Saccharomyces cerevisiae S288C: one gene and its partners. The protein of the gene in region 2 purifies or fractionates together with the protein of the main gene of each other region. This does not show direct contact. Each region holds a gene or a part of one and is shown on either strand. Other genes may lie near its edges. The genes, in order: UTP13, IMP4, PWP2 and UTP10.

Region 1 (4,857 bases), on a different chromosome or scaffold from region 2:
TGCAATGTCCTCTTGTTTGTCTTCGTCATTACCTTTTGAGAAAACATGATCACTTTTACCATTTTCTCCAACGTGTTCTTCGATGGCCCCATTTTGGATTTCCTCCTTTTCACTTTCTGATGATGGATCCGATGATGAAGAATCTGATGATGAAACATCAGCTGTTCTTCTCTTCTTCCTCCTTCTGTTTTTTTTGACAGACTTGATATTTATGGCTGATATATCACCTGCCGACATCCTGTATAATATATTATGGCTAGTTCTTTCCGTGCTATTTCAAGTGGGCAGTTTAAATTCTTGTATATATTACTACAATATATGAAAGTTTTCGCTCTTCGTTTTTTGCAAATTTTTAGTGATGAGCTCTTCGCGCAAAGAAGTTTTCAATGCCCGTAAAGGCACCTAATTATATATCGAATTATTTTAAGCTTTCCGCTTCATCAATGCATTTTGTCTTTATATATCTAGTTTACAAAATAATATGTTGCTATTGCCTTGCTTTTAAAGGCTCAATATCTTGGACTTACTGCCTAGAATAGCTTATCCATTTCCACTAGCGCGTAGTCTAATATGTAACTTTGTTCAACTAAGTTATCAACCCTTGTGAAATGCCTTTGCGTGTATGGAATTATTGCATCAACTATCTTTACCATTCCGGGTATCTCACTCAATTTTGCTATGTTATGATGCATCAAAATACATCTTATTGTTCTTTGCGCTATGGTATGTGTTTTTGCATTTGTATTCCAATCTCTGCATCGTTTCATTAACAAAATTAACTGTTCATCATTTAGGATAGAGATGGCTTGGTCCAATTCTTCATTGAAAATGACTTCAATTTTGCCCTCTTCGGTATCTTGTCTAGACCTTGATTCGCCCAAAGCTCTTTTCAAAACATTAAACAACCTCATTGGGTGATCTAAAGTCATTGCTAACAAAAATGCATTTGTCCAATCACCTTTGCTCATATAATTTTGAAGCGATTGTTCTTGTTCGACTTGTAATTTAGCTTTTTCTTGTTCTTCTTCTATTTCTTGTTCCGTACAATCTTTCCAAAACTGAAAAACACCATCTGCATCAGCACTTACGATCATATCACCATCATTCATAGTACTTAAAGCCCATAATCTATTATTATGACCATCCAAAGTCTTCAGACATTCACCGCTAGAACAATCCCATATTTTGATCAAGCCATCAGCACCACAACTGATCAGTTGTTTTTGCTTATTAATAAACGAACATCTTTGAACCGCATTGGTATGACCTTCCAATGTTTTCATAACGCTGAATGTATCCAATGACCATATCTTGACTGTTTTATCACCTGAAGAAGTTGCCAATAATTTATCATATTGGCAAAATGATACATCCCATAGTCCACGCTTGTGGTTGGCCAACGTGGCTTCCAATTCACCATTTTCTAGGTTCCAGATCTTACAGGTCTTGTCGTATGATGCTGTTGCAAAAATAGAATCGTTAGGAGAAACTGACAAAGCATTGATATCCTTTTCATGGGCATGACGAGTATATTCGGATACCTTGATGATTTGAACATCCATACTAGCAGTTGGCTTTGGAATTATCCATTTCTTAATTGTTAAATCATTCGATGCTGTCAATAAAAATTCAGGATATCCCTTTGAAACTATATTTGGCAATCCAACAGCAGTTACGGCAGCTGAATGACCAATATACTTGGCATAAATATCAAACTTGCAGCTGTTCTCATTGTATCTCCAAACAATAGCCGTATTATCTTTAGAGGCGGTTGCGATCCACAGGCCATCCTCAGTAGCATCCAATGAATTTAGCAAATCTTCATGACCTTCATAAATTTCGACATCCAAAGGCAGCGAAGCTTCTGGGCCTGATAAATCGGGGACGGGTATTATCCTAAGCGATGGAGAATTGGTAGCTAAAGCTAATTTATTCAGCTCTGGGCCAACATACCTCATGTCAGCAATAATACCATGATTACCAGCAATGCTCGAAGTGACCTGTATTGTGTCTTCATCATTCTTTAAGTCTTCTTCAACGTTAATTAGTTGTAATGTCTGGTCAGACAATACTAAAAACATCTGTGAATTGCTCAATATTGGAAGTACACCAATAATGAATAACTCTTCTATAGGTTTATTGGTTCTTTTAAGCACGCTACCAGATTCAGAGTCAATTAACTGAAAGATAGCATCACCGCCGGCTGTATAAATTATGCGTTTACCGTCACCATCCTTTAGGAATCCGCATGACTCTACCTGTTGATTTACTGGAAGTGTTTTCAACAATTTACATTTCTTTTTCATATTGAAATCCCAGAGATTGATGATATCGTCTCTACCACCGGAAAGTAAATTTAGGCTTGGCTCATCATTATCTGGTACCTCAATGATATCCAACCCTCTCACAGCAGATGTGTGCTCTTGTAATGTGTGCAAGCACTTCCTTTTAACAAGATCCCAAACCTTTACCATACCATTGGTGTCACCGGATGCTAATAACCATATTTTACTATTCAATTGTCCATAAAACTTCAAACTGGAAATTGTACCACCATGACCTTTGAACGAATGAGTAATGTAACCATTTTCAATATCCACAACAATTATACTACCATCTGTCCCTCCGACTGCGAGAAGCGTTGAAGTGGAATCTGCGTCGAGAATGTACGATGGAGAAGAGATTTTCATTGATCTGACAACTTTCCCGGTCTTAAGGTGAAAGATTTTTAAAAGCTGAGCTTGTGAAACATACGTGAGATATTGACCATCAGGAGTTAATTTCAGTGCAGTAATTTCTTGCTCGTCTTCATTAGAAATCTTGTGCAAAATTTTTCTGGAGCCTGGGGTTAAATCGATTATGTTGATTTCGTCAAGCACCGGAGTAGCTAGTATTTTACCATTTTCTGAAACAGTGGCAACAGCACTGCTTCCTGCATAAATAGGGTTTAACGATATACCTTTATATGAGGTTTTCAGATCCATATTGTACGTAGTATGGCTTACTACCGTTGAGAGTACTATGTTGTTGGTTCACACCTTTAATGCCATACCGCTATTATATCTGAGAGCGATGAGCTGAATTTTTCAGAAAATTTTCAGTCGCTTTACACGGATATATTAAGAAGCTCCATCTTAATCGCCAGAAGAGTGGATGAGGTTATCATCTCAACTAGAGTCGAAGAGTAAGGCAATCCATCAAATGGGGTTGCTTGAGGCTTATTTACTTTTATACGTCTGATTGGACGGATTATACCAGTAAAAAAAATATTGATTGTGTTTTTCTATAAAAATATGCATATATAAGTAAAAAAATAACATGTAATTCTTTTCAACCAACGATAAAGCAAAATTCAGAGTAGAATAAGGCAAAGTCACATACTGATGATGATATTGTAAACGAAAGGTGATTTGATTGTAGTAACCATAAAAAAATGCAAAATAGCTCATTGTAAGACGTCATTGAATTCGAATGAATGGTTAACATCATTGCCCATAATTCCTTCGATATCTGCCAATGCACTCTCACTAAATAAACCATTTTTAGTGAAACGAAGATTTTCAGCCGCTGCTTCCACCATACTTTGCCTTCTTCTCCACATGGAATTACTATTTTCATGGCTTAATGTATTGTCGAATTGCACAGGAGCGGTTAACGATGCTAGGATATCGGCGTCAGTATCTTCGATCACATGACCTTCTTGTGCATCATAACCGTTAATATCACCTACAGACAGTAAGTCATTTTCATCTTTGCCCAAAATCTCATGAATTTCATCTAAACCAACACTTTTTGTTGAATTTTTCCTTGTATTGCTGTCCACGGCAAGATCAGAATTATGAGGTATTAATGACGCATCTTCAGGTGCGTGAGAGGGAAGTTCATTCATAGGGGTATTTTCATTGGTTGTAAAATCGGTACCGGTATTTATGTCGCTATGGCTGTTATTGTTACCGATGATCTCATGGCCATTGATTCCCAATTGTAAATTCATAGTTTCTTGCTCCTTTATTGCCTTTTGTCTTTGCTTTCTTATTTTAAGAAGCTTCTTTTTTTTCTTTAACTGCCTTTTTTTTTCAGTTTTTTTCCGTTGTAGCTCTTTCATCTTATCAATCTTCTTTCTTGTTCTTTCATTACCAATATAGCCAATGGGAACTTTTCTGTTAGAATTTGCTGGTATCATGTACTCATCTTCTTCATAGGCATTAATACCCTTATTTCTAAATGCAGATAATGGAACCTTAGGAACTTCATACCAATCTGCAGCATGGCCATTTGTGCTTTTGCTATTAATTGCATCATTGTAATTGTTCTCCATATCGTCTGTGTGGGATGGTGAATCATCCTCCAATTCACTCATGTTTAGCAGCTCATTGAGTGTCAATTCGTCACCGTTATTGCCATTAGAGCTTCCCTCTCTTTTAACATCTGGGGTTTGAGCCCTTTGATGTTGCTCGCGAAGCTGTTGATGTTCTTGGATTAAGGCGTATAATGATTTAGTAGACAGACCATCAATAATACTAAAAGGTTTGTTGTCCGTCTCCCAAGTACCCAATTTTGGTGGACGTAATCCAACAACATTTGAACTTACGATTTCCTTTGCTTTTGAGCCAATGTTTTTTGACCTTGAACTTGGGGGCGGTAGGTTATCATCTTCATCTGTGGATTCGTCATCAACGTACACAACAGTCTCTAAGAGATCATGTTTGCAATCTTTGGATCCATCAGAATTTTCTTTGTCTGAGTTAGAACTTATCAAAGAGGAAGATCCATCGCTGTCGTAATGAAAGTAAAAAGAGTCTGGATCTAAATCATCGATGTCTATGAACACATTTGTCACGCTGGAATCATCGTCGT
Region 2 (3,184 bases):
TTTCCGTTAAGTTCGTCTTTGCGTTCAAGTGCAAACTTGGCAAGTAATCCCGAATTAGCAACCCAGACGCCTTTATCGACATCTTCGTCATATACAGCAATAGGCAAGCCCATGCCTTTATCAACAGATCCTTCTTACGTGTCTTCTTCTAATACGTTATCCTCCGAACATGAGTTAAGAGTTGAAAAAGTCAGTGAAGTGCTTAAGAAAAAAGTTTCAAATGGTGGATTTTCAACTGAATTTAATAGTTGTGATACATAAATTTCCTTTCTGCACCTCTTCCCTTCGTTCGTTTTGTTCTTTTAAATTTATGTCTTCATATGGTTATTTTTTTTATGTAGATACTCTCACAGATACATTGATAAACAATTAAGAAAAAAAAAAAACGCAAAAATAAAAATAAATCATGTGTTATGCTATCTCTTCTTTTCTCTTATATTCCCTCTAAGACGCTTTTTTTTTTTTTTTTTTTTTAAGAATACCATATTAGACTTACATAAGGCCTCATCGGCCTTCTATTTTAACCTTTACAAATCTATAAAAAAATTCACAAATAGTCTTTTTTATTGGCAGTCCTTATGAATCTTCTCAACTGCCACTCAACATCAGCGTCCTTATTTTCTAAAGTTCCCAACCTCAGTTCAAACAACCTCATCTCAAATCTAGGACCAACTTCGGCAATCTCTACTCCCTCTCTTGTTCTCACATATACATGCTGTCTAACGCTAATGAAATCACCCCTATTCGCAAAAGTGATTACTCTTTCGGAATCTTTTTTGGGCCCCGCATTGAACAAGTGCTTTAAAATACAGACTACTCTTTTCCCTAAAGCGGTAGTAAAGTTATCAAATATTAGATGTGGATTCACTTCGCTTTGGTTACCAGCATTTATAATATCATGTCTCATAACAACATTGTGTAAACTAAACTGTGCAGTGGGTCCATGTGGAAAATGTGATATGGTCAAAGAAGTTGGAACACCTCTATGTTCATGTAATACCACCAAATCTGTAGTACCGGATTTTTTACAAGCATCCACTAGATTTGGCATCACATAATTACCTCTGTTCAGCCTGACAGCATTTGGAAATAGCAGTTTAATTTCTTTGGCAAATTGCGAGAGACGAGTGCTTGGGTCACGAGATGTTGTGACGATGATTCTTGGATCCATTATACCACTTGTGGCAGCATATTCATCATCAACCTGTAGATCATCTGCTTCTTCGCTCTCCTTTAAACTTTGGTCATATCTGAAATCCTTTTGTAAACTCTCATCTTCTGCTAGTTCCTTTGGCAATGGCTTCCCCTGAGCTAGCGCTTGTTTAATTATTTGACGTTTTTGTTGCAGTTGAGAATCTTGTAATTCTTGCGCTTTTCTGTATAGATATTCTCTCCTTTCACGGGCTTGTCTTCTTAGCATTTCGATTTAACTGTTTTATTATTTATGGGAACACTTGAATCAATGATAAAACCGAGTATATATGCCCTTTCAAGTCCAACCTCATGCAATCAATATATACGCTACTTCATGCATTTTCATCTCATCGCATTTCCGGGATAAAATTTTTTATATTTTTCAGTACACAATATCCGTTACCCGAAGTGAATAGTGTGTCATTAGAAGGAACTCTTTCACTGCGTAGATAGTAAAATATATGACATTATCTTTTTTTGAAAGAACTTTAAATACTGTATCTGATTTATTTAACTTAGTAATCATATTCGCCCTCCATTACTCGTCTTACGCCCCAGTGCTTCCGTTCTCTGATTAGAGGTGTCATCATTACCATTTCCATTACTGTTTGCAATACTCGTATTGTCAAGCCGTGATATTGTACGTACCATCTTTTCTTCCTCAGAGATCTCCATTCTGGTCTTCAAAAACCCAGTATTCCTGTTCTTGGATGGGATATCCATCGACTGCCGCCTCGAAAAACGATGTCGCGTATTACTACCAGTGGCAATCGCCATTCGTTGTTGGTGAATGTTATTTGGCAAAAACATGTGAGTAGATAAGGCGGTGGGCAGTATAGTTTGAGCAGTTAGCGGAGCATTAGATTCATATAAATGATTGGACTCATTATCAGTTTTGAAGTCCTTTTGTATATCCATCGATAACCGCTCATTGTTGGATGGTTGCGGGGGAGATAGCGATGCTAGAGCTGTCACGTTGCTTGTTTTCAAAGAAGGTTTTTGTTGTTTTATACCATTAGCGCTCGGTGGATTTTGCTGCGGTTGAGGACCGATATTACTATGAGAGGACTGAGGAGTCGGCGAAACGTGTTTAGAAGCGTATTCACTATGTGCAGTATTGTGGTTATTACTGTTGCTATTTGCCTCACTAAGGAATAGTCCACTGAGTAAACTTTTTCGTACGGGATCATGGGATGTGTTTGAGTTGATTGTGTTCGCTGATGAAACAGATGATTTCGTTGAGTCAAGATTCTGTTGATTTTTGGCAAATAAAAGCTTGTCCCATTGTCTTCTATAGTACTGATCTGCTTCTTCCTCATTATAATCATCGTACTCTTCATCATCTTCATCAGCGTAGAATTCTGAATCATTCGAAACGCTGTCCCAATCGGAATCTTCATCTTCACTGCTGAAAAATATCTTGTTTTTTCCTTTTCTAGAGGATGTTTTCGAAAGTGACAGTTGACCATTTTGGTCATTCTTGTAAGACCTTGGCCTTCCGAATAAAGATTCCTTCTGAGGAAAAGAGGATTTTCTACTTCCCATATTTTCAAGAGTAGGACTGGTACTCTTGGAAGTCTCATTATCAATGCAGTTCATGTTCATGTCTCCTATATGCTGGAAAGGTGATCTTGAGCGTCTTGATTGTAAAGGTTTCTTGGTTATAACAGTGCTTGTATCAAAACCAGTGATAATAGTTTGTGGTTCTTCCTTATTAGCAACATGGTTCACATTTTTCATTTTTTGATATTTGTCTGCAAAATTTGAAAACAACCCTGACGTAGTAGATTTGGAGAATTGTCTGTTTGGAGCAACGTCATTTTTCACATCATTGTTTGTAGAATTAGGATTATCCAAGGATCTATCGTGAGCACCCTGTGCGATAGCTGGTGATGTCATTGGCCGAGTTAAAACGTTCTGTTTTGCCGTTGTGGGAGGCAAATTGGCCTTTTGTAATGGTGGCTGCTTTACTGCTGCCTGCTTTGGCTTT
Region 3 (5,017 bases), on a different chromosome or scaffold from region 2:
GTTTTATTCTCCTATAGAGTAAGGAGACCTTATATTGTTTTTCTCTTGGTAGAAAGTTGACGCGCGAAGAAAAACATAAAAAAAACTGACAAGATACTACTATTATTAACCATATACACGGAAATACCCACAGAGTATACAAACACACATATATATATATATATATATATAATTTTAAAGATAAATTAGAAGTGTTCCCTTTCTCTTTTCTCAGGACCGGTCGTATCCCTCCGGTAGTTCATCAACCTCTACAACAGGGATCTGTACTGAACCTACCGCTCCCTGTGCCAGCTCTAGACGATATTGCAATTTGGATCTGATAGCTACATGCTCTGCCGTTGAGGTGTACCGCAGTCCTTGCTGGCACATTTGAATAGCCTGTGTATATTCACCCAGTTTGATCAGCGCCATGGCTTTGTTGCTGTACCCGACCGGGTTCTGCGGTTGAGCAGTAATTAGTTGGTCATAACAGTGCACAGCCTCGCGATACAGGCCCTGTTTGAACAAAGAATTGCCCTGTTCCTTCTGCTTTTCAAATTGGCTCATGCTCTTTACCGTTGCTCTCTCTTTCGCAGTGCTGAAAAGAAAAAACCGTTCAAGAAAATTGCGTCTTGTGCAGTCATATACGCTGGGATATATATATATATAGATATATATACATATATATAGGAATATGTAACAAGAAAAAAAAAAGAGAGAGGAAAGAAAAGCTCAATGGATGACGATCACGAACAGTTGGTCGAAGAACTGGAGGCCGTCGAGGCCATCTATCCGGATCTTCTCTCCAAGAAGCAGGAAGACGGAAGCATCATCGTTGTGAAAGTGCCGCAGCATGAATACATGACACTGCAGATCTCCTTCCCGACACACTACCCCTCCGAGGAGGCTCCTAATGTCATCGAAGTTGGTGTCTGCACTTCTTTGGCTAAGCGCGATCTCTACGATACCAAGTACCTTCAGCATTTGTTCCAGGAAGTGATGGACTCTGTTTTCCACCGCGGATCTGTCTGTCTATTTGACTTCCTCACAGAACTCGACGGTGTCTTGTACGTTGAACCAGAGGAGGAGACAGAACCGGTCCAGCAGAGTGACATTCCCACAGACCCCTTCGAGGGCTGGACCGCGTCGGACCCCATTACTGATAGAGGCTCGACTTTCATGGCCTTTGCAGCACATGTTACCTCCGAGGAACAAGCGTTTGCCATGCTAGACCTACTGAAGACCGACTCCAAGATGCGTAAGGCAAACCATGTCATGAGTGCATGGCGAATCAAGCAGGATGGCTCTGCGGCAACATATCAAGATTCCGATGATGACGGTGAAACGGCCGCCGGCTCCAGAATGCTGCACCTCATCACCATCATGGATGTGTGGAACGTCATCGTTGTGGTGGCCCGTTGGTTCGGCGGTGCCCACATAGGTCCCGACCGGTTTAAACACATCAATTCTACGGCAAGAGAAGCTGTTGTCAGGGCCGGCTTCGACTCGTAATCATTATGATTATGTCAAGCACCTGTAACCTTGATCACATGCGACGGGAGTTCTTTTTGAAATTTTTTGGAAAAATTTTGCGATGAGCTGAAAGATGAAAAAAAAAAAAGTTTCGAGTATAGTTCTAGGTATGTACAATAACTAGTATAATATCAATAATAGTAATAATAGTATCGTTTTCAACAGGTAGACAGGAGAGCAGACCGCAGATTGAACCGCATCCCAATGAAATCCGATTTCAAGTTCTCTAACCTTTTAGGTACGGTCTACAGGCAAGGTAACATCACCTTTTCCGATGATGGCAAGCAACTACTCTCACCGGTGGGGAATAGGGTCAGCGTGTTTGACTTAATCAACAACAAATCGTTCACGTTTGAATACGAGCATCGCAAAAATATTGCTGCCATTGATCTGAACAAACAAGGCACATTGCTGATTTCTATTGACGAGGACGGTCGCGCCATCCTTGTCAATTTCAAAGCCCGTAACGTGCTTCACCATTTCAACTTCAAAGAAAAATGCTCCGCTGTGAAGTTCAGCCCTGATGGGAGACTCTTTGCATTAGCCTCAGGCAGGTTTTTACAGATTTGGAAGACTCCAGATGTTAATAAAGACAGACAGTTTGCTCCCTTCGTCCGCCATAGGGTGCATGCGGGACACTTTCAAGACATAACGTCTTTGACGTGGTCACAAGATTCCAGATTTATCCTTACGACTTCCAAAGACTTAAGCGCAAAAATATGGTCCGTAGATTCAGAGGAAAAGAACCTTGCGGCGACAACATTTAATGGGCACAGAGACTACGTTATGGGTGCGTTCTTCAGTCATGATCAGGAAAAAATCTACACTGTAAGCAAAGACGGTGCTGTCTTTGTCTGGGAATTTACCAAGAGGCCATCCGATGACGACGACAATGAAAGTGAAGACGACGACAAGCAAGAAGAAGTAGATATTTCGAAATACAGCTGGAGAATCACAAAGAAACATTTTTTTTACGCAAACCAAGCCAAAGTAAAGTGTGTCACCTTCCATCCAGCAACAAGGCTTTTAGCTGTCGGATTTACTAGTGGGGAATTCCGTCTTTACGATTTGCCTGATTTCACTTTGATTCAACAGCTTTCTATGGGGCAAAACCCAGTCAACACCGTTAGCGTCAACCAAACCGGCGAATGGCTGGCGTTTGGTTCCAGCAAACTGGGCCAATTACTAGTTTACGAATGGCAATCGGAATCGTATATCTTGAAGCAGCAGGGCCATTTCGATTCCACAAATAGTCTTGCATACTCTCCGGATGGTTCACGTGTAGTGACAGCATCCGAAGATGGGAAAATCAAAGTTTGGGACATTACATCAGGGTTTTGTTTGGCCACTTTTGAAGAACACACCTCTTCAGTTACTGCTGTACAGTTTGCGAAAAGGGGTCAGGTCATGTTCTCATCATCGTTAGATGGTACGGTGAGAGCGTGGGACTTAATCAGGTATCGTAATTTTAGAACATTCACTGGTACTGAAAGAATCCAATTCAATTGTTTAGCGGTGGATCCATCAGGTGAAGTGGTTTGTGCCGGGTCCCTGGACAATTTTGACATTCATGTTTGGTCCGTGCAAACTGGTCAATTATTAGATGCTTTGTCCGGACATGAAGGCCCTGTTTCGTGTCTTTCATTTAGTCAAGAGAACAGTGTCTTAGCTTCTGCATCATGGGATAAAACAATTAGAATCTGGTCCATATTTGGTAGAAGCCAACAAGTAGAACCTATAGAAGTTTATTCCGATGTTTTAGCCTTATCAATGAGACCAGATGGTAAAGAAGTTGCAGTATCTACCTTAAAGGGTCAAATATCCATTTTCAACATAGAAGATGCCAAGCAGGTGGGCAACATTGACTGTAGAAAGGATATAATATCTGGTAGGTTTAATCAAGATAGGTTCACTGCCAAAAATTCTGAACGATCCAAATTTTTTACTACAATACATTACAGTTTTGATGGTATGGCTATTGTGGCTGGTGGTAATAATAACTCCATTTGTCTATATGATGTTCCAAATGAAGTCTTGTTAAAAAGATTCATTGTGTCCAGAAACATGGCTTTGAATGGTACTCTCGAATTTTTAAACAGTAAGAAAATGACTGAAGCAGGTTCATTAGATTTGATTGACGATGCAGGCGAAAATTCAGATTTGGAGGATCGTATTGATAATTCTTTACCAGGGTCTCAAAGAGGTGGCGACCTGTCCACAAGAAAAATGAGACCAGAGGTTAGAGTTACTTCGGTGCAATTCTCCCCAACGGCGAATGCATTTGCCGCTGCTTCAACGGAAGGTTTATTGATATATTCCACCAATGACACGATATTATTTGATCCCTTTGATCTGGATGTGGACGTCACCCCCCATTCTACTGTAGAGGCGCTACGAGAAAAGCAGTTTTTAAATGCATTAGTAATGGCGTTCAGGTTAAATGAAGAATATTTGATCAATAAAGTCTATGAAGCCATACCTATTAAGGAAATCCCCTTGGTTGCAAGTAATATTCCTGCAATATATTTACCGAGGATTCTGAAGTTCATCGGTGATTTTGCCATTGAATCCCAACACATTGAGTTTAACCTAATTTGGATCAAAGCTCTATTATCTGCGAGCGGTGGTTACATAAATGAACACAAATATCTCTTCTCGACGGCTATGAGGTCGATACAAAGATTTATTGTTAGAGTGGCTAAGGAAGTAGTCAATACCACTACTGATAACAAATACACCTATAGATTTTTGGTATCAACTGATGGGTCCATGGAAGATGGCGCGGCTGATGATGACGAGGTTCTATTAAAAGATGACGCAGATGAAGATAACGAAGAGAACGAAGAGAACGATGTAGTCATGGAATCTGACGACGAGGAAGGATGGATTGGTTTCAATGGGAAGGATAACAAATTACCCTTGTCTAATGAAAATGATTCCAGTGATGAAGAAGAAAATGAGAAAGAGCTTCCTTGAAAAATATTCACTGTCCTCTATTTATGCACATTCACATCATGTATTCCCCAAGTATAGAACTATATAAAGCATTACATTTGTATTTAATATCAACAAAAAAAAATATCATCGCCAATATCGATATACATCATGATGAGAGCGCCTAATATAAACTGAGGCTACCATTACGGGAGTCGTCCTTTGACTGACGAGGCTATTTTCCTTATATATAAGGCATCATCGCTTCAGTAAAAAAAAAAATAGGAAGGGAAAAAATGAAGAATTGATGGGATGAGGAAAAAATTTGACACAAATTTATCGACTACCGTTTCATACTATCATCGGGAGAACAATTACACTAAGCCTTATAAAATTATTGATTCATCAAAAAAGAAGATAACTAAATAACAATGCCTATGAACAATTTTCTAGATGAATTCAATTTATTTGATTCAATCATTACCATGATGAAGAACGACCCATGTTGCGTCGAGGATTATGAGCCAATCGTCGAAAACCTGAACCGTATATTTCAAAGGACGTTTAATGA
Region 4 (7,673 bases), on a different chromosome or scaffold from region 2:
GAGGTTTTCACTTGATTTTGGTTCAAATACATTATCTCGTTTTCTAATGTTATAGCCTCGAAGAGTTGTAGCCTGCGATGCCATAATATTACCAGTAGAATTGTAGAGCACAGTACAAATACCCGAAATGATATTCGTATATCTAGTATTATAGCTTCAACCGCTTGCAATATGTTCTCTTTCAAACTACCTTATTATCAAGCCTATATCTTATTTTTCACTGATTAGGATTGATAAGCGCAGATAAGCGAAGATAAGAAAATTTTCACTCTGTTCGCCCGCTATTTAGGATCAGTAATTTTAGTAACGTTAATCACTAGGAACGACGAGAAAGATGACAGAATAATATCTCATTGAAACTTGAAGTAGCGTAATTGAAATATTAAGTTCAAACTCAGAAAGGGGCAGCTATCACGAATGAATAACAATATTTTCAATGAAAGATTTCGTTCAACAGCATAGTGTTTTACTTTACAAAAATTTACATAATACTTCACCTTTTTTTTCTAATCTAAATACCTATCAAAAGGTTCCCCTAAAACGTTTTCAACAACCTTGACCAAACCGGTCCTGACTTCACGTTCGATCTCTTCATCATCATCTTCCAATAACTCAGCGATGACGGGAACGAGCTGTGGCAATAGAACTAACCAACTTTCACCTATCTTTGAGTATATCAACTTCATGGCTCTAATAGCCCATAATTTTTCATTGGAGGAACAGGAAGCTTTCATGTGTTCAACGATTAGTTTATTCAAAATTTGGTTATGCTCATCAACGCCACTATTGTTAGAAGCCAGAGCGCCAATTGCCTTGACCAGGTACTTCCCAATAGAGTTTTCTATATTAGATAGTTGATTGACCAAGGATACAGAAATTAACTCGAATCTGGAAGTTGATTTCCAGTATTCGTCTCTATCAAACTTTAGCGAAGAGGTTAGAGAGTTGATTACCAAACGTCTTAAATTAACGTTTTCCATGTCCTTGCTAATGAATCTTTTTAACAACATATCAACAGGTTCTAACAAATACGTGAAATAGGAAGTAATTATACCTCTCAAATTTTCTTGAAGCTTGTTGAAAAATTTGAAAAATGCCAACAGTCTTTCTGTTTCAGTGATACCTGCATTTGTAACGCCTTCACCGTCAAACGCCCATCTTACTAATATAACAAATAGCGGTCTAAATACTTTGTCATTCATCTTCAGGACGTAAGAGTTGGAAATTTCGTGAACGGATGCCTCTATCCTACTAATTGTATTATTATCGAAACTGGAAATGGATCTAAATTCGAATAAAGATAATAGTAACTTAAAAAATATTGGCGATTGTGAGGTTGCGGATTTTTTATCAATATTTTCAACAGTGGATTCTAATGTACTCAAAAATAGACTAACAGCAACTGTATCATTGGACGTTGCTATTTCAGTGGACCAAATTCTGAATAAAACTTTCAAAACTTCCTTCAAATCTATATTCTCAATTATCAATGAAATTACTGACAGCCTAATGCTGCTGTCAACTTCACGGGAAAAATAAATAACATGCAAAACATCCAAAATATTTGACATCAAGAAACTTGGTATCCTTTTGATTAGACCGGCGAACAGCAACAGTATAGCAACTTGCAACTGCTCTTTTAATGGGTTACTACTATCTGCCAATGAAGCATCAAATAATTTAATAGAAGGTGGGACTATTTTTGGATAGAACGCAATTGACTTGACTCCTAAAACTTGAACACAGTTAGTTATCAATGCCAACGAAGATATCTTGACCTCTGTCATATCAGAACTAACTTTTTCAGTAGCAAGGGTGAGGGCTTGAGTTAATATGGACCCCTCAAGCTTCTTACCATATTTGCTCACTAAAGCCGTCATCGTGTTCAATATTACTTGAGAAATAACAACAGATTTAGATTCCAAAGGCATTCTGTCGAGCAAAACCTTCATCACATTGTTAACTATAGGAATAGCTTCAGAGCCTTCTAACTCGAATTTGGACCCTATTACCAACGTTAGGTGGTATCTAATATCTTCATTAGTGGATGTACTGAGTAAGGGTAATACCGCATTAACAAACTCGTCAACTGGTAGAATTTGTAACACATTGCCAAGCACCTTGAATAGAATCTCCTTTATTTCAGTCGTGTGATCTGATAATGATGTTTCAGAGTCGGAAGCTTCCTCATTTTCTTGGGAAGTTATACATGAAAAGGTTAATTCTACAGAATTAATGAAAAAAAGAACACCTTCTAAAAGGGTTCCAAATTCTTCCCTGATGTTTCTAATTAACTTTTTATCGCTTGTTTCATCTAACAAAACAGAATATACCTTTAGTCTTAAATTTCTCCTCACATCGTAATAATCTTGATCTGTTTCCTCGGTTATTTTATTGATAAACTCAAAGGTATTGTTCATAAATGTCAAAAATTCACTTTCCGAAAAATTCAAGACACCATTTGAAAACAAGACACGGGATTCTAGTGATTTCTTCTTTTCCGAGGAGCTCTTTGATGATGTCAACAATTTGATGATATCGAGTAAGTCATTCAAACCTGATAATTCCTCATTGACATGTAGATCAACGAGTAGGGCCTTAATAAACTCAATTAATATTCTTGCCTCGCCAATTTTAAAGTTGACTAAAGCTGAAGAATACTGTTGTGCAATCAAGAAAAGGAACGAGCCCAGTGCCTTTACTGGATCAAGTGTTTTGATTAACGTAGAAAATAATTTAACCCTCCTATGTCTTGGAACATGTTGCAAAGCGGTTGTGAAGCTCAACAAAAGGAACTCCATTTCCTCTTTTTCATTTCCTTTGCTATTCTTGATCAAGGCAGGGACAACAGTTAGTATCGTACGCTCAACAACTTTAGTTGTGAATTCATCATCTTGACGAATACTATGGGCTCCCATAAAAGTAAAGATAGGCATTACAGAATGCAAAATAACTTCCGAACTTAAAGTAGCAAGAGATCCAATTACAAGTAATAGTTTGTTTTGGACTTGCGGAGATGCAGAATTTCTAATAGCGGATACCAATATATCTGCCCTTACGTTGGTTAGTTCTGTACAGCCATGTTCCTTCAAGTATGTGATAGTGTTCAGCGTACAAGAAATCAAAGTTTCTTGCGCATATAAAACCGGTAATCCACCGTCTTGATCCAAAGTTTCCAGATCTGATAATAAGGAAAGTAAAGTGAACAAAAGCTTTTCGGATCCAACATTTCTGACTTTATCAAGTGCTTCCAAAATAATCGTCAACTTTCTCAGGTGCAATTCCGCCAGTTGCGAAACCTCCTCTTTCAAAAATGCGTTTTTACTTGTTGATGAACGTCTTCTTCTTCTTTTAGAAAAGTCTGTCTGATCCATTTCGTTACTGATACTGTTTTGATTTAGTATGGATACAAAAATATCGGAATCTAACGGCAATGATTGTAGTACACCGACTGTATCGTACGATGATTCTACGTTACTCGAAGAATCCACGATATTTTGGACGATTTTTAGTTTTTGAGCATTATTTAATGAAGCGAATATGCTGATAAGCCTCTCGGCAGCTATGTTAGCTAACTGCTCATAATCTGAGTTAAGAGCACTGAGAACAAAATCGATCATGAATGACTGCTTTTCTTTTGGTGATACCAAATTAACTAAAGAGCGCTCAAAATGCTCAAAGTTTGTTTTATTAGCAATACAACTCTTTTCCCAACTAGATCTGTTTTCTAAGTAGTGGGAAATAAATTCCTCAAATAGGGAGGAATAAGAAGATGCATAAGTCGGACTCTTGTTCAGGTTATCCAACAACACTGTCTTGGCATACGGAGAAGGTATTAGTAGGGCTTGATTAGCCCAAAACATCAAAAAGACTTTTTCATTTCTCTTTGGCGTTAAAATTCTGGATATGTCATAATTCTCAGTAACGTACTCATTCAAAAATCCTGATAACCATGCCTCACTATCTTTGGGATTTAACATAGGAATGGTAACGTTCTCTCCGTAAAGTTTATCAGACAAAAAGTAGTGCTTAGTGGATGGTCTTTTAGCAATCAAGGAAAGAATCTTCTTCACGCCAGTCCTAACTTTTATAGAAGCATCTCGCAAAGCGCAAATCAAGCATGGAACTAAAGTAAAAATATTAACTTCCTTTTCAATACTATTAATATATTTTGCAATATTGTTTAAAGATATTAGCTTTAGCGCGGTTGGAGCGGCTGGAGATATAGTTACTCTTAACAAAAACGTTATTCTTGATTCTAAAGTAGTGAAAAATGAAGTCAAGAAGGAACTTGCTTTATAGCCTTTACCAATAGCTTCAGTGAATAAAGATAAAACCTTTTTGTATCTTTCTCCAGTTTCTGTTAGCATGGACACATTCGTTGTGTTTATCAATTCTGAATGCTTATCCAAGAATGTTTGAAATGAAGCGGTATCCTTTTTAGTAGTTTCCACGGGGTCGCTTAACTGCTTTACAATGTCGGTGTTAACATCGGCATTAGTGAACAAAGATGTAGTAAGCCTGATTTCGAAGAGTTCGCCTGTCAGTCCCAATGATTTCAAACATTTTAACACCAAATCTTCATTTATGGAGATAAAATATTCGAATAGTTCTACTAATTGTGACTTGTCCTCTAAAATTTCGGAAAGGTAAATCAAATCAGTGATTATCAACCTAACTTCGTATCTTTCTAGTCTTATTTTTTTTAGTAGGCTAAGAATAATGTTCAATTTGGACCGATCATACCTTGCTATGGATCTTGTATAGGAAGTAATGAATTTATCACAAACTGGTTTGTCTTCCTTATCTAAGAAGGTTAGTATAGACACAGTGTCGAACTTGCTATCAAATAACTTGAAAATTTTGGAAGGTAGCTGATCTACGTTACCTTGTCCTTTTAATGTTTGGAACAGCTTACAAATCGTGAGGAGTGCTGAATGTTTTGCCTCTTTAGCATCTAAGTTTGAAAGAATGGTTTCCATGGCAGCTAAGATAATTGTTTTCTTTAAAGGCAAAGCTGTAGCAAATACAACTAATATGGTATGTGCAGCTATTTGACAATCCTTTGATTTAGAGGCTAAAAGTTTAGCAGATATTTCAAGTAAGATTGGAACAAGCTGATTCAGTTTTTCATCGTTGTTTGAATTGAAAGCAACAACGTTAATAAAGCAGCATGTTGTAAATAAAAGCTGGTTAGTATACGTTGCATTATGCTTAATACATTGATCCAAATAACTGGTATAAAGTTTCAGAAAATCCATGTCATTAAAGAGCTTTATCATGGTTAGCGCCGTTGGGGGCTTTTCACTTCTAACAAAATTCGACAAACAATTAAACAAAGGGGGCAACTTAATAATGCTGAGAATTCTCTTAAAGACAGGTGTTTGGTAGTAGTTGAGAGTGGACAAAAGCAGCATCTCTGTGTTTTTAACATGTATTTGAAAACGACGAACCAACCATTCTGTTGCATGTAGTGTAGGTGCTAAATACCATTTAGAAGAAGCCAATAGCAAGTAAGCATTGATAGCATTATCCAAATCTTTAATTTCTTCTTTTGTTTGGACATTTCTATCAAGAGAAATGGAAGACTCTGAAAAGAGTGTTCTTGAGAAAATGGCAAATTTTGGCTCAATTTGGCTCAATTCTTCAAGAGCCTTACTAGCGTTTTCAAAAATGAAATCGTAATCTTGTGTTGCAGCCGTCTTTGAGTTATAAATCAAAGAAGCAGAATGAAGTTTTTGTCTTCTCTTTCTATCCAACGCAACAGTAGCATTGTTGGAAGCAACTTGAGCTAATTGGTCACTCAACGAAGACATTTTCAAAGTTATTCGTACTTTGGTGGCCAGTTAGATAAGTCTGATTCTGAAAGGTAATAAAGAAAGTATTTGTTACACCTTCGAAAATATCTAGCTCATCGCTAACTGAAAATTTTTTTCTTTGCTTAACGCAGAAAGAAAAAAGAAAAAAAAAAAAGTCATGTGACTTGAATATTATTAATCTATGTATGTTATGATTATTGGCTATGAAACCATAAAATTGAAAAAAAGGATTCATAAGCTGATATGTTATTTGTACTTAATGCTATATTTATAATTTACTTTTGAAATTTTTCTTAGTGGGTCAAAGTCTTCTTTGATACTGAAGAATGACCCAATGGCAACACTTGGTCCATTGGTTAACAAGTTTCTAACGAAGTGGACCTTGTGAGAGCTTATAAACTGAAAAGACCAGTTTTCTTTTTACCAAAGGGGTAGACAAAGAGTGAAGAAGCAAATAGTCCCACAGAAATACCGACACAAACTTGAATCATTGTCATACCAAATGACATTGAGGACGATGGATCGGAGGTGCTTGTCGTAATGGTTTCATTAGCATTAACAATTGTATTTGCACTTTGCAACCCAGACAACAACGAATTTTGTGAAGCAATACCAGATGGCACTTGAACGAAGATTGCGGGAAGCATAGCTGATACCGCTAAACCTTTCCAAATTCTGGAATATAGATTACCTAAAACACCTATGACAAATGCAGCTAAGGCGGCAGTAAACTCTGTCGAATTCGCAAAATGCTTACCGGCCCAATATGTTACGACATAACCGGTGCAAGAAATGAAGACCATAACTGGCAGTTGTGAGATGTGTGCTTGATTTAATAACGAGATACTAATGGTAAACGCTGGAACGAAGAGGAACCTGAACCACGGAGAAATTAATTGAGGACATGAAATTTCGTTAGTGGCATTGTGATACATCCATCCAAACAAAGCTGAGCCCAATGTTATGCCAAAACCCAAAAACAAAGAATAAATAATGGCGTAGAACATACGGACCGCGCCAGCAACTAGGCTTCGACTTTGCAGTTCTAGTGCACCACACAGAATAATATAACCTGGCAGGATTAATGCCAATGAGCCTTGTGTAACTGCACCAAAGCAGATGTGAGAACGAGGGATAGAGCCAAAAGCTCTACCGCAGAAGCTAACGACAATAGATGCAGAAATTTCGAAGACGTTTGAATACATGTATGACTTTTGTGAAAGAATAAATTGTAATGACCCCACACAAAGCCCCATAAAAAATGAGATTGCCAGGTTTACCCAATCGCCACCAAAGGCATACGGAGTGACCATAGCGGAACAAAATGCATATAAAAGAACACACATCCAAGGTGGATATAGATTCGTGTCAGCCAAAATTTGATCGAGTAAAGCATTACCTTCATCGGCACCTAAGGTATCATGGACAACTCTTTTGTAAACGGCATGAACTTGATGCAGCTTCCAAAGGTTTAGACCTTGAGTACACCTAACCAATTGAACTTCGGAAGTTCTTGTTGTTGCATCACCAAATGAAACAATCATACAACCTGGAAGATACAAAACTGACCATCTATTTCAAGGACTCTAGAAGTCATAACCATATATTCTTCAAGCCTATGCGTCGGAGCACCATACATCATAAGAGCTCTACACATGCGTAGGATGAACCGGTGTCTTTGTAAAATGTCTGCAATGTGAACCGTAATTTTCGCTTCAGTTTTTAGTCTTTTCTTCAGTCTAGGCATTCTGCCTTTTTTAGCCTTGCCTTTTAAATTTTGTAATCTGCTACGCTTGGCAACTGGTACGTCTTTGTTTCCAGCAGTAGAAGAAATACCTTCATCATCTGTTGTTA

The links.
Region 1: the proteins of IMP4 (region 2) and UTP13 purify together in Saccharomyces cerevisiae (affinity purification with mass spectrometry; 3 studies listed by BioGRID). This does not show direct contact.
Region 3: the proteins of IMP4 (region 2) and PWP2 purify together in Saccharomyces cerevisiae (affinity purification with mass spectrometry; 7 studies listed by BioGRID). This does not show direct contact.
Region 4: the proteins of IMP4 (region 2) and UTP10 purify together in Saccharomyces cerevisiae (affinity purification with mass spectrometry; 5 studies listed by BioGRID). This does not show direct contact.

The regions. Positions count from the first base shown.
Region 1 is NC_001144.5:578,788-583,644, forward strand, and holds UTP13 (U3 snoRNA-associated protein UTP13), read right to left. Parts: upstream 2,985-4,857; coding exon 531-2,984; downstream 1-530. Other genes in the region: RSA3 (Rsa3p), read right to left, coding at 1-237; IFH1 (Ifh1p), read right to left, coding at 3,446-4,857. UniProt on the Saccharomyces cerevisiae protein: Involved in nucleolar processing of pre-18S ribosomal RNA.
Region 2 is NC_001146.8:483,843-487,026, reverse strand, and holds IMP4 (snoRNA-binding rRNA-processing protein IMP4), read right to left. Parts: upstream 1,421-3,184; coding exon 548-1,420; downstream 1-547. Other genes in the region: MLF3 (Mlf3p), read left to right, coding at 1-261; MKS1 (Mks1p), read right to left, coding at 1,717-3,184. UniProt on the Saccharomyces cerevisiae protein: Required for the early cleavages at sites A0, A1 and A2 during 18S ribosomal pre-RNA processing.
Region 3 is NC_001135.5:219,928-224,944, reverse strand, and holds PWP2 (snoRNA-binding rRNA-processing protein PWP2), read left to right. Parts: upstream 1-1,716; coding exon 1,717-4,488; downstream 4,489-5,017. Other genes in the region: TAH1 (Tah1p), read right to left, coding at 211-546; YIH1 (Yih1p), read left to right, coding at 715-1,491; CTR86 (Ctr86p), read left to right, coding at 4,878-5,017. UniProt on the Saccharomyces cerevisiae protein: Required for bud-site selection and cell separation. Also involved in nucleolar processing of pre-18S ribosomal RNA.
Region 4 is NC_001142.9:211,494-219,166, forward strand, and holds UTP10 (snoRNA-binding rRNA-processing protein UTP10), read right to left. Parts: upstream 5,817-7,673; coding exon 507-5,816; downstream 1-506. Other genes in the region: GZF3 (Gzf3p), read right to left, coding at 1-84; pheromone-regulated protein PRM10, read right to left, coding at 6,212-7,363; YJL107C (uncharacterized protein), read right to left, coding at 7,360-7,673. UniProt on the Saccharomyces cerevisiae protein: Involved in nucleolar processing of pre-18S ribosomal RNA. Required for optimal pre-ribosomal RNA transcription by RNA polymerase I together with a subset of U3 proteins required for transcription (t-UTPs). Involved in ribosome biosynthesis.